Linked DNA regions of Rattus norvegicus. The protein of the gene in region 2 interacts with the protein of the main gene of each other region in a pairwise test. Links are inferred from orthologs where the notes say so. Each region holds a gene or a part of one and is shown on either strand. Other genes may lie near its edges. The genes, in order: Fam13c and Ccdc172.

Evidence for each region.
Region 1: the proteins of Ccdc172 (region 2) and Fam13c interact in binary tests that used the Homo sapiens proteins (3 or more experiments, as listed by UniProt). The two-hybrid records come from large-scale screens. The link is inferred for Rattus norvegicus from reciprocal best matches to the Homo sapiens genes CCDC172 and FAM13C.

What each region holds. Positions count from the first base shown.
Region 1 is NC_086038.1:18,083,457-18,092,869, forward strand, and holds part of Fam13c (protein FAM13C), read right to left. Parts: intron 5,900-9,413; coding exon 5,689-5,899; intron 4,381-5,688; coding exon 4,242-4,380; intron 1-4,241.
Region 2 is NC_086019.1:267,610,944-267,620,851, reverse strand, and holds the start of Ccdc172 (coiled-coil domain-containing protein 172), read right to left. Parts: upstream 5,489-9,908; 5' UTR 5,439-5,488; intron 5,166-5,438; 5' UTR 5,120-5,165; coding exon 5,041-5,119; intron 4,814-5,040; coding exon 4,728-4,813; intron 1-4,727.

The DNA.
Region 1 (9,413 bases), on a different chromosome or scaffold from region 2:
TCAGGGTACTTAACAAAGGCACACACAAAAGCTTTGCATGACATCATCTGATACACAAGAGTTTGTGTTCACCGCGAATGATCCCGTCAGTTATGGGGTGACACAGAAACATACATCGAAAAACAAGGTGGAAAGGAAGACTGAAGGAAAAGTCACTGCCCCTCCCGTGATGGAGCCCGAGACTGCCAGAACCATGGACAGAGACACGGGCTGCCCAAAGCTTTGGTCATGGGGAGTGAAGGAGGGGGACGACATGGGACACGACATTGCTTAATGGAATCCCACTTAGGGTCTCCGGAAGGAAGCCTTATGCTTAGAACCCTGGTGTGTAAGCCTAATTCTTTGGGCTTAGCTGTCTAGACATATTGACAGCCCGAGTTTTACATTTGGACTCTAGAACCCTCAGAGGATTCTCCAGACTAAGGACGTGTGTACGCAGGTAAAAGGGAAGCTCACTGGATCTACCCGACACACCACCAAAGGAATACACCAAACACACAAAACACACTAGGAGCTCAAGCCAGTGACCAACAGGGTAGTAAGTGTTTTGCTATCCGCAGGGTGGAGGAGGACTCGGAAGCTGGATTTTATGGCAAAGTACTTGAAAGCCCGAAATCAGTTGCAGAAATGAATTTTCTTTTGATGGTTCTGCCCTTGGGGAAGCTCTCTTAAGGTTAACTTCAGGTTGCGTAGAAGATGGCGCCCAAGCCGCCGAAGTTTCCACACATTCATAACGGCTTTTTTAGGCCTCTTTGTGCCTGAATGGAAATGTCTATCTATGGTCAGACACCCAAACTCACAACTACAGGCTTTGTTAGGGGTGATTAAAGTGAGGCCACCAGGTTACTGTTGCAGATACTGTTGTGGGAGATTCCTACAAAGAAAGGTCATTCATAAGACACTTTAGAAAGACTTCTGGTCGACCATGAAAAGACCTGAGTTGTCCTAACTAGGTTCTTGGCTGTGTGACTCTTTAAATTCATGTCACCTCTCTGGGCCTGTTTCTTCAGTCACTGGGTAAGAAAAAGTCTGGCTGGCTCTGCCCAGTTTAAACATGTTCTTTTTTTTTTTTTTTTTTTTCTCGGAGCTGGGGACCGAACCCAGGGCCTTGCGCTTCCCAGGCAAGCGCTCTACCACTGAGCTAAATCCCCAACCCCGAAGGTGTTCTATTAATAGTGAACATCTGAGCCCCTCAGGAGGCAGAGGCAGGTGGATCTCTGTGAGTTCAAGGCTAGCCAGCTCTACAAATCAAGTTCTAGGACAGCCAGGGCTACACAGAGAAATCCTGTCTTGAAAAACCAAGTGAGAGACAGAGACAGAGAGAGAGAGAGACAGAGAGAGAGAGAGACAGAGAGAGAGAGAGACAGAGACAGAGACAGAGAGAGAGAGAGAGAGAGAGAGAGACAGACAGACAGACAGACAGAGAGAGACAGAGAGAGACAGAGAGAGAGAGAGAACATAGTGAACATCTGGATGAACTGCCCTTTCTAACCAGGGCTACATTTGGCAGAGACAGAAAGACGTGTTTATGTAGACATCCCAAAAGCCGAGATGCCCAGCAGGAGCTAAGGTTCAGAAACAACCAGCAGGCTGGTAACACCACTGTCCGACGGATGAGAAGGAAAGCAGGCAGGTGGCTTGCCAGGCTTCTGACCACAGCTTGGCACCTGACAAGAGGCACAACCAGATGCCATTTCCTAGGATATATAAGGTGCTGACTGAAGTGGGGGGGGGAAGGTAAACACTAATGTAGTGAATTATCAACCCTCCCTGCCTACTGCTCTAGCATCTATACCTGTCCTCTGTTCGTGCATGCCTGTGTGCATGCGTGTATGCATGGATAGGTGCGTGCATGCGTGTGTATGTGGGCATGTGGGCAGGTGCATGTAGGTGCATGTGTGTGGGGGCGGGTACATGTGTGGATGCGTTTAGGAGGCAGGGAGTGACGGGACCGATTGTCTTTTCATTGCCTTTGAAGCTTCTCAAGGCAGGGTAAAAGATGCCAAGAGAAATTCCCTAAGTAAGACAGACAACCATCAGTGGCCATAAGATTTAGAAAAAAATAATGCATGTGCACAGCACAGGTGGGGACCCAGTACATATTTAACGTGCACAGGTCCCCTTCCTTTCCTCCCAAGACAGAGCCCATCATGTGGCCTGCTTGTATTGCTCAGACAGATTAAAAGGTTGGTGATACCTAGGACCTTTTGCTCCCTTCATAGCCAACACTGCAGGGTTGTAAGGGTCACACTGGTTCCTTCAAGAGTGTCCTCAAATTTCAGTTACTGCTGTATGACTCAGAATAGGAAGTAGCGTGTGCAGACACAGGAGGCTGCCAGGGCTTTGTGTTGGATTACAATCTAAAACAGTCAGACTCAGGAAAGGCAGAGGTGTTAACGAGCTCGAAATAGAACCCCCATTGTCACTCCCCATTGTCACTCAGAGCTGTCCATCATGGTGGTCTGGTAAACTCTAGTAGACCAAAGGTGAAACCAGCTCCTACCAGAACACTGGGCTACCCAAGATAGACACTAAGAACCCTACGACACCACCACTCAGGTCTGTTCTCTGTTAACTTACTGCTCCAAGCCTCAAAAGATAGCTCACAGCTAGTTAGAAGTCTTCAGTGGATCGGGGCTTATTTATCTGCGGGATAAAGACCGAGACGGTAGGCAGAGGCAACCCTGTTGCGTGAACAGAGAGTAGTCATGACTGCTCAGTGGAAACCATGCAGCATCCTGGTTCAGACAGCCGTAAAAGTCAGTCTGATGGCGCCCTTCCTATAAAACTAGATGCCCCTCCCTAAACTCTCTCTTCAAAGCCATAGCCACGCAGGACAGGAAGGGAGGAACAGACCACTACCCACTCATCGCTCTGCTGCAAAACTTACCACGCGCTCACAGACACCTTCCGATTGCCTCTGTACCGAGTGCTTAGGGAGCCTTTCAATATTTCAAGATGTTTGAGAGATTGCTCCCTGCTCTGTTTTATTCTAATAACAAGCTGTTCTGGGCTGTCTGCCAGAGACCCACACTGTCTTTATGCAACTCCCTGTGAACTTGAATTTTTTTTCTACTCTTTGGTCACCAAGAAAGCAAACATAGGCTCCTTTGGTCAAACAGACACTTCTCTGTGATTCTGCGGTTTCGTGTGTGAGGGAAGACAAAGCCATGCTGGTAACCCTGCTGGCCCCACAGAAGGACTGGGGTCTGCTGGAGAAAGATGGTTCTGTTTGGTTTTAGTGAGTGGCCTCGGCAGGTAGCACCTGAGAAGTCACCACTCACCCACCGTGAAGTCCCTTCATGGCAAAAACAAACAAACAAAAACAAAAACAAAAACAAAACAACAACAACAAAAAAAAAACAAAAAACCAACATACAGAACCCAAAATTCTCCATCACTATATTCTTCAGTTACGAGGAAGAACATGTTTTGGGTCCCAAAGTTCTTATCAGCACAGGGGTGAAGGAAGTGCAACAGGAAGCTCTCCAAATTTTCGATCTAGAAAACCTAGTTAGTTGACTCTGTTGGTCTTCCTTCGGAATCCCTGTCCTCGTGGGGTCCCTTAATCCTCCCCCCAACTCTTCCACAAGATCCCATCTACTGTGGGGTCTCTGCATCGCTTTCCATTGGCTGCTTGGTAGAGCATCTCAGAGGGCAGTTATGATAAGCTCCTGTCCTGCATGTCCTTTGGAATCTGTTGCCTGCCTGTGGATCCTGTCCCCCTAACTGGGCTGCCTCATCTGGCCTCAGTGGGAGAGGATGTGCCTAGTCCTGCAGTGACTTGATGTGCCGGGGGCAGGGGGTGGGGTCTAAGTGGGGAGAGTAGTGAATGGGTGATACCCAGATGGGAGCTCCACTTCTCAAAGAAGGGAGGAATGGGGAAAGGATCTATGTGAGGGGGGTATTGGCATGTAAAGTCAATTAATTAACTAACTAATTAATTAATTAAAGAAAACATAGTGTCAATAAGGATGCTCAGAAAGACCAGGGAAATAAGAGCTATAGCGAGTGGGAAGTCTCCTAACAGAGGTTAGCTGCCTACAGGTGAGAGCAGGACAGACTCGCCATCGGATTCAATTAAGCTCAGCTCTTGGTGTGGGGTATGGGTGACCAGTGGATACAGAGCTGTCCTCCAGCAAGGAAGGGAGCAGCCACAACCAAGGGATGGAGACCCAAGAAAAACCGGCATGCTTCCCAGACACAATCTGGGCCTTCCCGTTAAACCCTGGGGTACTTACGCGGTATTTCTTTTCTTGTTCAAATTTCTCTTCAAACTTCCGAATCTTCCTCTTGAGGCTTTGGATGTGCTTAGTGAGCTGCGTAATGGTCTGGGGCTCCTTGCCATCCCCACCACCGCATCGGGAAGAGCTTCGTGGCCTGCCATGGTTATACAGACGGACAAAGAGTTTCAGAAAGGGTCTCAGTGAGCATGGCTGCCTGACCTCTGAACCCTGGGAGATCACAGAATTCCAGGCGGCAGCTCCTTACGCGGCTAGTGTACCAAGTCATCCCTTGGGTTGACCTCTGACCTTGTGACATGCAATATGGGCTGATGATCTTGTTGGGGACTCTTTTGTATACAAACGTCAAAATATCAGCACAAGAGATGCATATTTCAAAGCAGAGTGAGGCCGACCTGGGACTCAGAAGAGAGGCCCTGCTGAGGTGCGCCCTTCAACAGGTTGTGCAAGCTGCACCTAATGGCGTTTTCAAAGCAAGCCTTAAATGGGTAGTTAACTATTCTGACATAGGGAAACCCTTTCAAATATGTCAGAAGGAGTGGCTCTCTCTCCAGACAATATTTCCACAGTCTCAACATGACCCGCAAATTTCCATGCGACTGCGGTGACTCACTCTGCCCGCCCTGTTCATCATCCATGATCCCTGGATAAACTCAACAACGGCAGTTAAGCCGCGGGAGAGGCGCTAGGGGCATGGAAAGAGAGCAGGCTTCGGCCAGGGGCGTCTTCCTTTTTACTACGCGTCAAAAGTATTTGCGCAAAGCTAGAGTGGACCACAACACAGATCCCAGAACTGACCCCAAGCAGACGGGGGCAGGGGAACACTTCTGGGCACACAGGGGGATGCTGCTCAATGACCGATGCGGAGGTCACGTCTGGCACGGACAGAGGGAGACTGCTATGCTAGCTGCCCGTTGACTCTGGGGAGGACCGTGGTTATTTCGGGATACTACTTTTCTGGAACCTAACAAGCTGCTGAAGGGGAAACTTGCCAATGTATATTTCCCTCTACTGTTGGGCCTGGGAAACACACTGAGCTAACTAAGAATGACACTTTAGAAGTGTGCAAGGGCTGGGGATTTAGCTCAGCGGTAGAGCGCTTGCCTAGGAAGCGCAAGGCCCTGGGTTCGGTCCCCAGCTCCGAAAAAAAAGAACCAAAAAAAAAAAAAAAAAAAAAAAGAAGTGTGCAAAGACACACGCTTCTTCACTCTTTCCGAAGCACCCAACGTGTCTTTTGATCCTTGTGACCGTCTCTCTCTGGGACCCCCCACACCTCGGTAAAAGAACGGTATTGCCAACGGGAGTGAGAGAGAAGCCTTGCTTTATCACGGTCTGACGGAGTAACCCACGGGCACGTCTGCCCTATTTCAGAGCTGAATTTCACTGTAGTGCTATGAAGGTCTTTGGGGGAAACTGCAGGAAGCGAAGACGTAGGCCTCCTTACATCATAAACTGCTGGCTGCTGGGTGGGGATGGAGCTGACTCGGGGTCCAGGTTGAACCTCTGACTTTGGCTAAAGATGGAGCATCGTGGCGAGAGCAACGGATTGTCGCCATCTGTGATGTGATGGAGCAGCCGGCTGGTCCCTGCAGACTGGAGGTCATCCGGCGTACCGTCGGCGTCGCCCTGTGCATCCTTATGAGCTGGCACGGGGTCTGGGGAGACGAGATGAGAGATCCAGGCTTAGAAGTGACCAGAGAGCTCGAGGCTGCCGTGTTCCTAAATAAGATCGTAGTGTCGGGCTGGAGAGGTGGCTCAGTGGTTAGAGCACCGGCTGCTCTTCCTGAGGTCCTGAGTTCAAATCCCAGCAACCACATGGTGGCTCACAACCATCTGTAATGGGATCTGATGCCCTCTTCTGGTGTGTCTGAAGGCAGCTACAGTGTACTCATATACAATAAAATAAAATTTAAAAAAAAAAAAAAGATTGTAGTGTCAGTGGTAACGGCTTGTTTCTGTCGTGGATCATAACGTCAGTGGCTTGTTTCTGTCGCGTCTCCCTTCTGGAGAGACGAAAAGCTTTCAAAACACTGTCATGTTTGTTCGCGCAAAACCTGGATGGAAAATATTACAGAGCCACCGACAAAGGTGTTGGAAGACAATTCCAGAAGGAGTTGTCCCGGCCAGCACAGCACAAGGATCTCACTGGATGTTATCTGAGTGAGTCGGAGGGTACGCGGAGAGAAGCTAAGGGTGAATCAGAGTTTGGGTACCAGATACAGGCTGTGAGGAAAAAGGGGGTTAACAGAACTATCTGCCAGGTAGGAAGAGAGGAAGAAGAGGGAGGAGGAGTCAGTCTCCAACTCGAGGCCATTTCAGCATGCACAGTGCGCAGAGCGTGCCCGGCAGAAAGCACAAAGTTCACAGCACGGGAGTGATACTCCAGGCCAGGGAGAAGATGGCTGCATCGGTGGGCAAAGGTCAAGGCTGAGGGAGCTGAGTTCAACCGCTGGCACCCACATGGCTGGAGAAGGAAACCAAATCCAAATCAAAGTCATTCTCACATGTGTCCTGACATCATGCGTGCAAGCACACATACATACAAGTATATGTAATAAAACCCTAAAACAAAAAGGAAGAAAAGAGAAGAAAAAAGAAAGGAGGGAGAGATGGATGGATAGATAGATAGATAGATAGATAGATAGATAGATAGATAGATAGATGCATACATGTGTACGTATGTACACACATACATGCATGCATGCATACATACATGCATGCATGCATACATTCATAGGAGAAACCAAAGAGATTACACAGTAACTCCAATATACAGAGTTAGGAATGGCTGTTCTGCTTTCTAAAATATTACATAACTGTGCTTTGGACAAAATCAAAATGAAAGCAAAGCCTGCTGCAGGGTCCCCCCCACCCCACCCCACCCCCGCAGGCCAGCTCTGAGCCTGATTCTCGGTGTGACCTCCTCCCCGTCCCTCCTAATTTAGGTCCTTAGTGCCCATTAGGGCCAGTCCAGATTCCCCTGTGCTAAGGGGGAGATGAAAGGTAGGCATGCTCCCAGAGGATCCCTGAAACACTTGAGTCTAGTCTCGAGCTCACAGATCTACCACCCCCCTTTGCCTCTCAAATTCCGGGACTAAAAATGTGTGCCACTACACCCGGCCCAGATTTAAATCATTTGAGATGCAGATACACGGCTTTAATCCAGATCCTTGGAGGTGGGAAGACACACTTCTAATCTGGGGCACGCCTCCTGCTGACAGCCTTATCTAGGGGACATGGGAGAAGGAAGCTTGCTCTCTGGCTTCTGGCTCTCAATCTTGCTGGCAAGTTCACCCTTTCACTGCCGTTACAGTCTATTTCTTCAGGATTGTGGAGCACAGTGAAAACCAGCTGAGACATCCAGCCTTGTGGACTGAAAGAACTATTGAATTCGTAGACCTTCAATTTGTAGACAAGCCTTTGTTGGAATATAGATAACCTGTAAACTGTCTTAATAAATCTCGTTTATATATGTGTGTGTATGTATATATAAATATATGTGCATATACATATACATTTATGTTTATATATGAACATATATAAAATATAAATATACAATATACATCTATGCATATTATATAATACATGTACATTGTATAATATAATATGTAATTGTGTATATTATATACTGTGCATATATACATATACATATAAAATATGTATATACATATGTGTATATATGTGTATATATAAACATATACACACATGCATAAATGTATGATATACATATATAATATAGTATACATATATGTATATGTATGTGTAGATGCGTATATGTATACATATGTTTAGTGTATATGCGTATGTATATATGTATATAGAATTATATATTAAATTATAGCATTATAGTATTATGTATTAAATATGTCATATACTATATATTATATATGTATATATATATATATATATATAGAGAGAGAGAGAGAGAGAGAGAATGTACACTAATCTATAGGTTCTGTTCCTCTAGAGGATGACTACAACTGGTAATTTCTTGTCCAAACATACCATTTGAATTGAGAAGAAGTTTAATTAAATCAGTTGGCAAGTGTATTTGTGTATATACTTGTGTAGACAGATTCACCAGGCTCTCTGTTCAAAAGAGGCCAAGGCAGGACTCGAAGCCAGTGCTGCCATCTGGGAACAGAGTTTGCAGCCCCTTTCCAACCAACTGCAGCAGAGGGAGAAGCGTGTGGCCACCTAGAGCTTGGTGGCTTCTCCAGAATCCTAAGGACATGATCTTTGTTTCTTCCGAAGTAAGGGGCAGCTTGCCAGGGTCCACGGCATGATACGTTACGGGGAAGGGGATGGGAGCCAAGAGCCTGGTAACTGTATGCTGGGTGGGTAGGGGCGGATTCAGCCAGTTTGCTGGCTTCCTTCTGTTTCCTTGTATAAAACACACAGGGCTGTGAAAAGACACAAGAGGAGATCTGCTCTACGGACAAGCAACACAGTACTCCACTTACAAATGGAGTACTCAGGCAAGCACAAAAGACATTCTTATTTTTTTTTTTTTTTGGTTCTTTTTTTCCCGGAGCTGGGGACCGAACCCAGGGCCTTGCGCTTCCTAGGCAAGCGCTCTACCACTGAGCTAAATCCCCAACCCCGACATTCTTATTTATAACTTCCAAAAATCTCGGTAACATATGTATCATAAATCATAGAAAAAGAAAACCCACAGTAATATAAAATTTGAGGCTGTTTTTTTGGTTTTTTTTTTTAAGATTTATTATATATAAGTACACTGTTGCTGCCTTCAGACACACCAGAGGAGGGCATTGGATCCCATTACAGATGGTTGTGAGCCACCATGTGGTCACTGGGAATTGAACTCAGGACCTCTGGAAGAGCAGTCAGTGCTCTTAACCGCTGAGCCATCTCTCCAGCCTGCAGCTGGGGTTCTTGAAAGGCGAAATGGAAGATATCTTAACCTGTCAGAACCCGGTCCGGGAATGAAGTGGTGGGAGAATTCTAAGTGCTTGCGAGAACCCTCCAAAGGGCAAAACGGGAGTCTAGTGACCTCGGTTTCTTCAAATCGGAGACTAGTTCTTGGGACATATTTTTGTGCTCGTCCTAGGTGTAGCAGGTAGGAGTGAGTTCACTTCAGATCGCTCGTTACCATTGGCTGCTGTTAGTTAATTAAATGCTTAAACTATCCTTTATATGCCTCCA
Region 2 (9,908 bases):
CTTTCAGACTTGTTTATGTGAGAAGAGAAAACCTAACCACTATTGAGTGAAGCCACAAGGGTTAGAGGTTATAACCAATAAAGCCAGGAATCAATGCTGGGTTTCCAGTTAAGTCTGCAGCAACCAAAAGTTACTAAAACAGAATTTCTGCTGTGACATAAGCTGACAGAGTCCTCTGTTTTTAAGTAAATTTTAATCAACAATAAAACCATGTAGAAGCAACACAGAAAATTTCCTCTAATGCATACATTTCACATCGGCTAAATACTTGCATCTCACAACTATAAAGGACAATGATTCCTGGTGCTGTTCTCTCCTTGACATGTTAAGTCTATACCAAAGCATGATTTCTCAAGTTCTGAGAGGCAGGGTTCTGACTTCACCAATCAGAAGGCAGAACATCTACATTTCTAAGAAAAAATGTAAATGGGCCATTTTGCTACTCCATTCCAAAATATTTTCTTTAAAATTCATAAAACATTATTCTATTGTTCTTCAGATATTTCTGAATACATAAAAATAATATTAATCAGACTGAGCAGGTCCTAATTAGGAATGTATCTACACACATATATATACATACATGCAATAAAAAATGGTCATGAGTTTGGGGGGTAACTATATGGGATGGTTCAGAGGAAGAAAGGGAAAGGGGACTGTTGTAATTATAACTGCAAAATTAAGGAAGTTAAAAAAAGACATTTATCCAATAAGTTGAAAAAGGAAAATATGTAAAATATGCTAATACAGCCTAAGCCTTCCCTGCTTTCCCTCTCACAGGAATATGGCACAGCACTGGGCTTATATAAGATGCTTATAAAAACTACTCAAACTATAATTACATACCAATTTTCACATATAAGAAACTCAGTGACTTGCTTCTGAGAAACTACAATAGTTTTACAAGCCTCAATTTTAGTCTCAGACATCAACATAGACGACTGAGGTTTGAGGCACCTTGGCAAGCCTCAGTGTAGACTACACCATGCTCCCATTCTCAACGCAGACCACACTGTGCTCTCATTTCAGTGTAGACCACACTGTGCTCCCACTCTCAGTGCAGACCACACCATGCTCCCATTTCAGAGTAGACCTCACCATGCATTCTCAGTGCAGACCACACCAAGCTCCCACTCTTCCCTTTTCACAGGCCAAGCTTAACCAGGCGCACTGTAGCTGTCCACGTCACTTAAAGCACTCCTGTGATCTGAGACTGCTTGCTCCCATATATTTCATGAGACTCATCCAGCCCTGAAAGACAGATGCTATCATTCAAGTTCTAATTGCAAGCTACTTAGGTTCTACAGAACAAGGGGGGAAAGAATACTGCACTTCCTAAAATACGCTTTTTGACTTCAAGCAGTTCCCTAAATGTAAGCCCAAATATTTTTTGAGCATGTGAGTATACAATAGCTCACGTGTTGCTCTAGGGTCTCCTCATGCTACTTGTTTGATAAATGGGTCAATAAACACCAAGTCAAATGTCCAAGTAAATATATTTTCATTGTTATTGGCAGATATATAATTAACTCTGAGGAAAAAGAAACAGAGAATCAATTTATGATTACTTCTTTAGCTCTTCCCATTACTCATTTACTTTAGCTTCTTAGTTCTGTTTAAATCTTAATACACACGTACCATCTTGACTCTAATTATAAATCAAATTACCTCAATTACAAATCAGTGTTGTATGAACTGTGACCCACATATGCTAGTTTTATTAGTAAGATACAATTATATTATTACCCATGCATATGAGCTGATTAAAAACAAATGCACATTTATGAGCCTGTATTAATTAGCAATTTCATGAATGCTTTTAAGTAATATTAGAGATTTGCTATGTTTTCTCTAGCACAAACAATTAAATCAACATTTTCTTTATACATGTGTAGTATCAACACTACATTTCTATTTTCAGGTGAAATAGGCTGCTAACAAAAGATATTATACAGAATAATAATTTGTCTTGCAAAGGAAACATTACAAAGAAAAAAACATCTCATTTAATTTTTTTTCTTTTTTTTCCAGAGCTGGGGACTGAACCCAGGACCTTGCGGTTGCTAGGTAAGCGCTCTACCACTGAGCTAAATCCCCGACCCCTAAACATCTCATTTAAAATGAAACATTTCCTACCTGTCAGGTCAGTATCTTCACCAACCCCCAAAAAACACACCTTATACAACTTACATAAGTGATCTTTAAAATATCACCCCAGATGCAACACTTCAGACATATTATTGTATGTCGTGGGGAAAAATGTTCAATGCAAGCTCAAGAATCTGTTTTAATAGAGTAATATTTTCCTTAACCAATTGTTACTGTGGTAGTTATTTGGTTTTCTATTACATACCATGAACAAATCATTTAAATGATGTCTCAGCTTCCTTGCCTGTAAATGGGGAATGATTACTCCTCCTCTCAGAGTTCCTGTTAGAACTAAAGGGGTTAATCAGCCCTTGAATAATACCCTGCACGTGGGCACTTAGCTGCTGAGACCCTGGGAGTAGAGAGGGGTTGAACGCCCCACACCACCCATGTAGAGTATGTGTGTGGTGTGTATACATGTGTGTGTGCATATGTGTGGGGTGTGTGTGCACATATGTGGGCTGTGGGGGTGGGATATGTGTGTGTGTACATGTGTGTGTATGAGTGATGTGTGTGTATGTGTTTGGGTGACATGTGTCTACGCCTGCATGTGTATGTATGTGGTATGTGGTATGTGTGTGTATATTTGTATATGGTATGTGTGTGCATGTGCATATGATATGTGTGTAGTATGGTGTATATGTAGTGTGTTGTGTGTGATATATGTGTGGTATGGCATGTATGTAGTGTGTGTGTTGTGGTGTGTGGCATATGTGTGTGCATGTGTGTGGGGGATGTGTGCTTGTGTATGTATGTGGTGTGTGTGGTGGTTATGGTATGTGGTGAGTGTGTGCATGTGTATGAGTGTGTATGTTCCTTTTCTTCTGTTGACTTCTATTTGCCAACCCAACTTTCAAAGCATCTTAAGTCTTCTTCCAGGGAAAGACAGCTACATGAAGGTGCTGTACACCTTTGCCCATGCCACCAGGATTCCCCACTGCCGCTGGCCTACTTTCTCTTTTAGTCCAGAAGTAAGAGCTGGGCTCAATGAATACTCACCCCACATTCTGTCTTAAAAGATAGTTTCTTTTAGTTAAGGGGCAGAGAGGAAAGGTTGGTTGGTTGGTGGGTACTCAGAGTTAGGAGGGATAAAGGCTGGTATTCGACTACACAGAAGGATGGCTACAGTTAATGACCTAGACGACGAACTTTGAAGATTTGTAATATTTTCACCACAGTCAGGATAAATGTTGGCACGGATATATTAATCTGGAGCTGAGCATTACAAAATGCATAACAAATAACATGGAAGCCATAAACATGCCCAACCTTTATTTGTCGAATTATCAAGACCGAGCTCTTTTCTTGTTACTGGCCCTCAGTAGTGAATGCACCTGTGTACAGTGTTGGCTCAGCAACAGATACCAAGAGAATAAAGGTGAATTTAAAACAAAACTAAGTACATTCCTCCCAAAGAAAGAGGGGCTGCAAACAGGAGCGCATGTTGACACTTAGATTTTACAGAGCTGTCCAGGGAGGGTTTTATGATGCATGACAGGATGCAGAGAGAAGAGAGGCCGTTCACCAGGTGGTGAACGGGCAAGAATTGTTTTATCCACAGGAAAATGAAAATTCCTCACAAATATACGCTGTTATTAGAGTAATATAATGTATAAATAAATTTATAACTTACATCCCTTTTACATACAAATTTATATTTAATATGTGATAAAATTAAAAATGTATTAACAAAAAAAAAAAGTCTGAGTGATCAAGTCACTAGACTGCCTCTATGCACTGCTGCCTTAGTTCACCTTCAGGTGTTGGGACATTACTATTGGACATCTGATTCCTCCTTCCAGACCTAGGCCTCTAGCTCTCACCATCTTCACTGTCCATCCCCATCTCTGTGCTCAGAGCACAAGGAGCTCCCCTAACAGCACATTTACTGCCCCTCTCTGGTCAAATCTAGCAACGTTTCCCTCCCAACTCTACTCCGCCGCCCTCTGCTGGCTGTCCAGAGTCCTCTCTCAATGTGCCTGGGGAAGAACCGCCCCCTCTTTGCTACAAAGGGTCTCTCCTACTAAGTCTCTTTTCTCCCTCAAAATTCTATCCATAGTTCAACCACTTCCTTGAAGCAGCCAGGCTCGCTCGGTCCTTACTTTTTAAAAGGCGGAACTTTACAAATGCGGCCGGAGAGAGAAATGAGAGAAAAGATAACTTAGGATGAGACAAGTCCAAAACTGTGGTAGTGAGTTGGAAAGCAGAAAGCCATCATTTGAAAGACACATACGATCCCATTACATCCACGGAGCACACTTAAATTACTTACTGTCTGACATTTATATGCTGCCCTGACTACTTATTGAACAATTATTCTTCCAATGACACTTTTCCTTATAAACATTAACCATCCCACAAAATGGACGGGGAATCCGTTAAGTCTGGATTCCTCCGGGCCACTTCCTGTTAAAAACCAAAGACCGTGGACTCAGAACCTTACACGCTAGACAACGCTGAATGACAGAATATAGCTGCTGAGTTTCCTAGTTGATGGATAAGTAGTTAGTAAATTGCTCCCCAAAGCCAAGTTCAGACACTTCCTCAAGTGATACTTAGCATGGTCTATGCATCCATACCTTGGATTCCAACTTGATCTTTTCTTCATTCAGATCCTCTGTTGCTTTCTTAATTTTCCCGCGACATCTGGCAATTTCTGACCTCACTGTAATACCAACAAAATCTTTACTGGCCTCCGCCTTTCTGAAGCCTCCATCACGGCAGCACTTGGCAGGTGAGTTTTCATCTGTCTTCTGTCCAGGTTGCAAACTCCACTTACAGTGCCCCCTTCCCCTCCAGTCTGTGGGGCAAACACCCAGGTCCAAAAGCCAAATGCCCCCCAAGAGCAAACCCCAGCTCCAAAAGCCAAATGCCCTCTAAGGGCAGGCTCACCTTCCCGCATCACTCTGCGGCTCTCCTCGGCCTGATGCTCAGTGAAGATGATGTGCTGAAACAACGACTCCAGACTCATCTCGGGCCAGCTCACCCTTAATATTTTATAAGGGAGTCTGAGGATCCTGGAAAGCACAATGAAGAGGGTTGTCTGGCTGTTCCCTGCCTGCACCACCCACTCTTGCCCAGCAGAGCCCCAGGGCAGGAGCTCTCGGCTTGTTCCTCCATGCTCGCCCAGAGCCGGGCCCATTCCTCCTCCATGTTCGCCCACAGCCCGGCGTGCTTCTGTGCTGAGTGCAGCCCCCACAGAAAAGGCCTGGGGGACAGATACAGTAACTTTGGCTGGGGACATGCTTCCCCTTCCCAACCCCCTCGCTTTCCCAGGAAAAGATGCCCACAGGCAGAGGCTGGCAACTGACGCCCCCTCAGGTGTGTCCAGCCAAAGGGGCCTCCACCGGCCTCGCGAGAAGTCATCTACGGAAGCCTGGTGGGACCAGTCTGCAGCGACCTGCGCTCACGGGTTCGGGGTCTTTCTAGAGGTGGGACTCCCAGTCTCCAAGTATTATAAAGTGCAAAGTACCCGTGATTCTAAATATAAACTTTTGCAAAGTCGTATCCTCGGAGGCTAGCAAAGACTCCTACAAATGTACAATGTCTGACATTCCACCGTAATCATTCCTTCGTAATCAAAGCATATCTTTTTTGTCTGCCCCGAAATTAATCACTGCCTTTTGTAATCAAGCCTTGGTAATATTAACACTTCGATATCTGTACAATGTGTGTCAGAGACCAAAGTGGTTGCTAATTAAGGCTTAAATGTGAAAGGCACCTTTGGGACTTTTGCATGATATTTTTTTTTTAATTAAGAAATATTTTCAGTTTTGGTAGGTCAAAATATTGACATTGTAATAAACATCTGACTTTACTCTGAATGTAAAACTGACACTGGCTAGACTTTTAAGAAGTAACTTTTAATGTGAAAGTTTGAATGTGCTTAAAATTAAGTAAAATGAAAATTTTGTCACATACACTAGGCTTAATTAATAGCCCACTAATGCCACAATATATTCAGTTAAAAACTTTAATCTATTCTATATTTCTACCTTAATTTTCATCTGGTCATGTCTGCATGAAGTTTAATGTTTGAACTATCAGAATACACACTGAAATTTGAAATAAAGTTAAAAAGAATTAATTACTCAGAGCTATTCAGAAGCTAGTACTGATGAAAATTTTCCCACTGTCTTTTGGGTATCCCTTGTTGACAAGCACTTTTTATTTAAAACCTTGAAGTCCCATGAATAAGGAATGATAACATTATTTTGTTACTTGTGTTTTGATTATAATTAGTAGTTCAATATTTATTATTTATTTGCTAAGCACTCACTTTCTGAACACACTACGTCTATTTAAGATGATTTTGACATTTCTTTTCTAATATAGTTAAGGTGACAGACTGACAGACTCAAAATATACCAGTAAAAATGAGGTCACCGAGCTACTTAGTTGAGTCACTATCTGAAATCTTGATGTGTATTCGTTCTTTTAATCAAGCCAGTTATCCTATTAGAACTATGTTTTTTGTTACTTGAAGGGCTAAGTAACTTGTCCACACTCACGATGGCTAGAATGTAGCCAATTCAGGATTGGAATCCTGTGTCTCAGGAAGAGGCATACTTTGTACAGGAAAGTAAATGGAGACCAAGAAAATGGGAGTTGAGAGTCATGGATTCAGCTGTTATTTTCTTACTATAACACAAACATAGTGGACTTTTGCCATTTCATTTAAAGCTCTTCATGAATGTACTTTGTACCTTTATAGTCCTCTGATACATGTGTGCATGTGTCTAGCTCAGATATAACCAAATTCTTCCATGTACTCAAGGATGGGAAATGACCGTTATTGTGCCTAGAACCATTTTCTTTGAGCACTCCTGTGGAGGTTCTTGAACTGTATCACAAATGCCATCAAAGGTAGAAGCTTTTCGAGATAGACTACAAGACTACTAGCATTGCCCCCTTCAGGGTGATTTCCTGTGGGCTTGCATGGGGGCTGTTCTCACAGAAAGGCAGGTTTCCAAGAACTTGATACTTTTTCAAGTTACAGCTTTATGAGTTGCACTCAAACTCTCTCTGTTATTTAACATGCTCCTGTCTGTACTGAAACTTGGCAGAGTGGATTCTGAAAGCCATTGGAAGCCCTCCTGCCCTTCTCACACAGGAGCACAGAAGAAAGTCACTGGAAATTCGAGAGGAGGGTGATGGGGAGAAATATCACTGTCAAGTTCTTCCCATCCCACAGCACTCTAGTGCCTTTAAATCTTGGTAGAATCTTCTTAGAGGTATTACAACTGCAGGCATTAGCTATGTTTTAAATTTTAATTTTGTTTACTGAGGTGCGTATAATTATGCAAGCCCACAGTTCAAACTCTACAGTTTTCATAATAATGAATTAAAGTAACATCAAATTAAGATATTAAAATCTAACTTTATTCATACATTGTGAATAGTGTTAAGACTTTTTTCCCCTCTTATAGCAATGCATGCTGATTGCATCTCATAATGTACAGAGCAAGAGTGGTATTATTTAAATTTATGCCAAATAAAAATGGTATATGACATGATAAAGCTTTGTGGGCATACTACTTTCTGAAAATGTATCTTCTGAATCTAAAAATGGGAAATGATTCATCCGACAACTGTTTAATGAGCTCCTGCTTTTCATTCAACATTCATTCAACAAATATTACTGAACAGTTCCTATGCACCATGTTAGAGAAACAACTGCAAGATTTAATAAAAACAGCTACATTAAAAAAAAAGTTCTTTCTCCCCCTGGATAATTCTAACCTCAATGGAGAATTATTATATTTTACAGCATTTTGGCAGCAGGATAAACAATTGCTCTCAGATGCTACGGCAGATGTTCTTTAGAAAGGAAGCCAGTTATTTGCATTATGACGCCCACACATGATTCTCAGACCTAAACTTCCCATCTGTGCACATTTCAGTGAATTGCCTACCTTTGGAACACGAGTGAGGATCCCTCATTGTCCCTGCCCTCGGATGCTTCTCTCGATCGCTTAGCACCTGGGCTGTGCAGTCATCAATGATTGTTTTGCTAGGAGGCCTTATACAGGGCTCTATTGCTCTTTGATTTAAATGCGTCTCTTCCTCTTTCTTAGATTGATGACTTTCCTAACCCAGGCTTCAGAATACCCACTAGCCGGGGGCATGTGTGTCGCGATGAAAGGAGGGAAAAGTAATTCATTTATTTTATGTTTTTCTGAGGGCATCTACCATAAAGAAAAAATTATGGGTTTAACTAAGTTGAATTACCATTCATTGAGTGTCTACTAAGTCTAGAGTTTTCCCCTGGGTATTAAGAAGGCTACAAAGTTGGAAAGATGCCTGCTCTCCTCTCCTTGGAAGGTCACCGTCAGTCAAATGGGGTAGGGGTTAGCTTGAGAATAAGGCTCTAGGTAATATTTTTCACACCTCCACTTTCAAAACATGGTAGAGGAGAGGTGATATGTCTGGTACAGGCAATCTAGGGAGAGTTGCCAATAGAGAAAAAAGAAAGGGAGAAAGTTTAGTAGAAAAGAAAAGGGAAAGGCAGAAAGACATATGGGACCAGCATTAGGTGTTTTGCATTTTCACGAGTCCATATAGGTTATTCAGTGCTTCCAATGTGTGAGTGGAACGTCCACATTGATGTGCAGAATAAGTTGACTCCACTGGGTTAGAAGCAGTAAGGGAATGGGACTACTGGCTTGAATATTGAGTAGTGCACTGTCTTAGTCCATTTGGGCCACCATCACCACATGACACAAGCTGGGTCACTTACATTGGAAATGTATTCCTCACCATTAGGAAGCAGTGAAATCCAACATGATGGTGTCTGAGCACTCAGGATTGGCCTGTTTCCTAGTTCACAGACACCTAGTGAACTCTCAGAAACTAGGAAAGACTTGTTAGAGCTGCGTGGCATTTTTTATAGGAACACAAATTTCAATCAGGCCAGCCCCGCCCCCCTTGTCTAATTGGCTCATCAAGCTGCACATGTAGTAGCATCAGCTTCTGAGTTAGAGTCAGACAAGTGGAGAGATGGACACGCCCATACCAGGATCCTCATTGGGTGCCAACCACTGTAATCAACTCACGCTCACTGTGTGCCGAACCTGTGGGCGTCACCAATGAATGAACCTTCATAATCAACCCAGCCACCTGATGAGAACAGAGCTTAGAGAGCTGGGTAGCTTGTCCACAGTATGGGAGCCGGAGGGAAGGAACACAATCAGGACATGTGAGCTTCTTCAGTCTCTGAAACCTCCAGATGGGAGGTAAGATGTCTTCAGCATCTGTTACATTTAGATACCTCCAAAAAAAAAAAATTGCTTACTGCCAATCCAAATCTATAAAAGCAATCGCAGGTATATATCTCATATTTTAATATGAATTTAAATAAAATGCGAATGAAAGAAATGTAGCCGTGAGTTGAAGTTGGTGGTGCATGCCTTTAATCCTAGCACTCAGGAGGCAGAGCCAGGCAGATCTCTGTGAGTCTGAGGTCAGCTGGGGTTACAGAGGTAGACTCGGTCTCAGAGGAAAAAAAAAAGTGTTAATGGGCCATGTCTTCAGAAACATATTTAACCCTCTGTGTATTGTTGCTGTAACTACTTAATCTCAGACCCCAAGTTTGGGAACCGAAACTCTGCCTATCTCTCTTCTGCCCAGCTATAGGCTGTAGGCACTTTTATCACCCATCAGAGATAACACACAGCATCACTGCGCCTATGTGAGAACCTCCTCCTCCTCCCTGGCCAGTATTTAGTATTACGATACATAGCAACAGACCAAACCTCAAC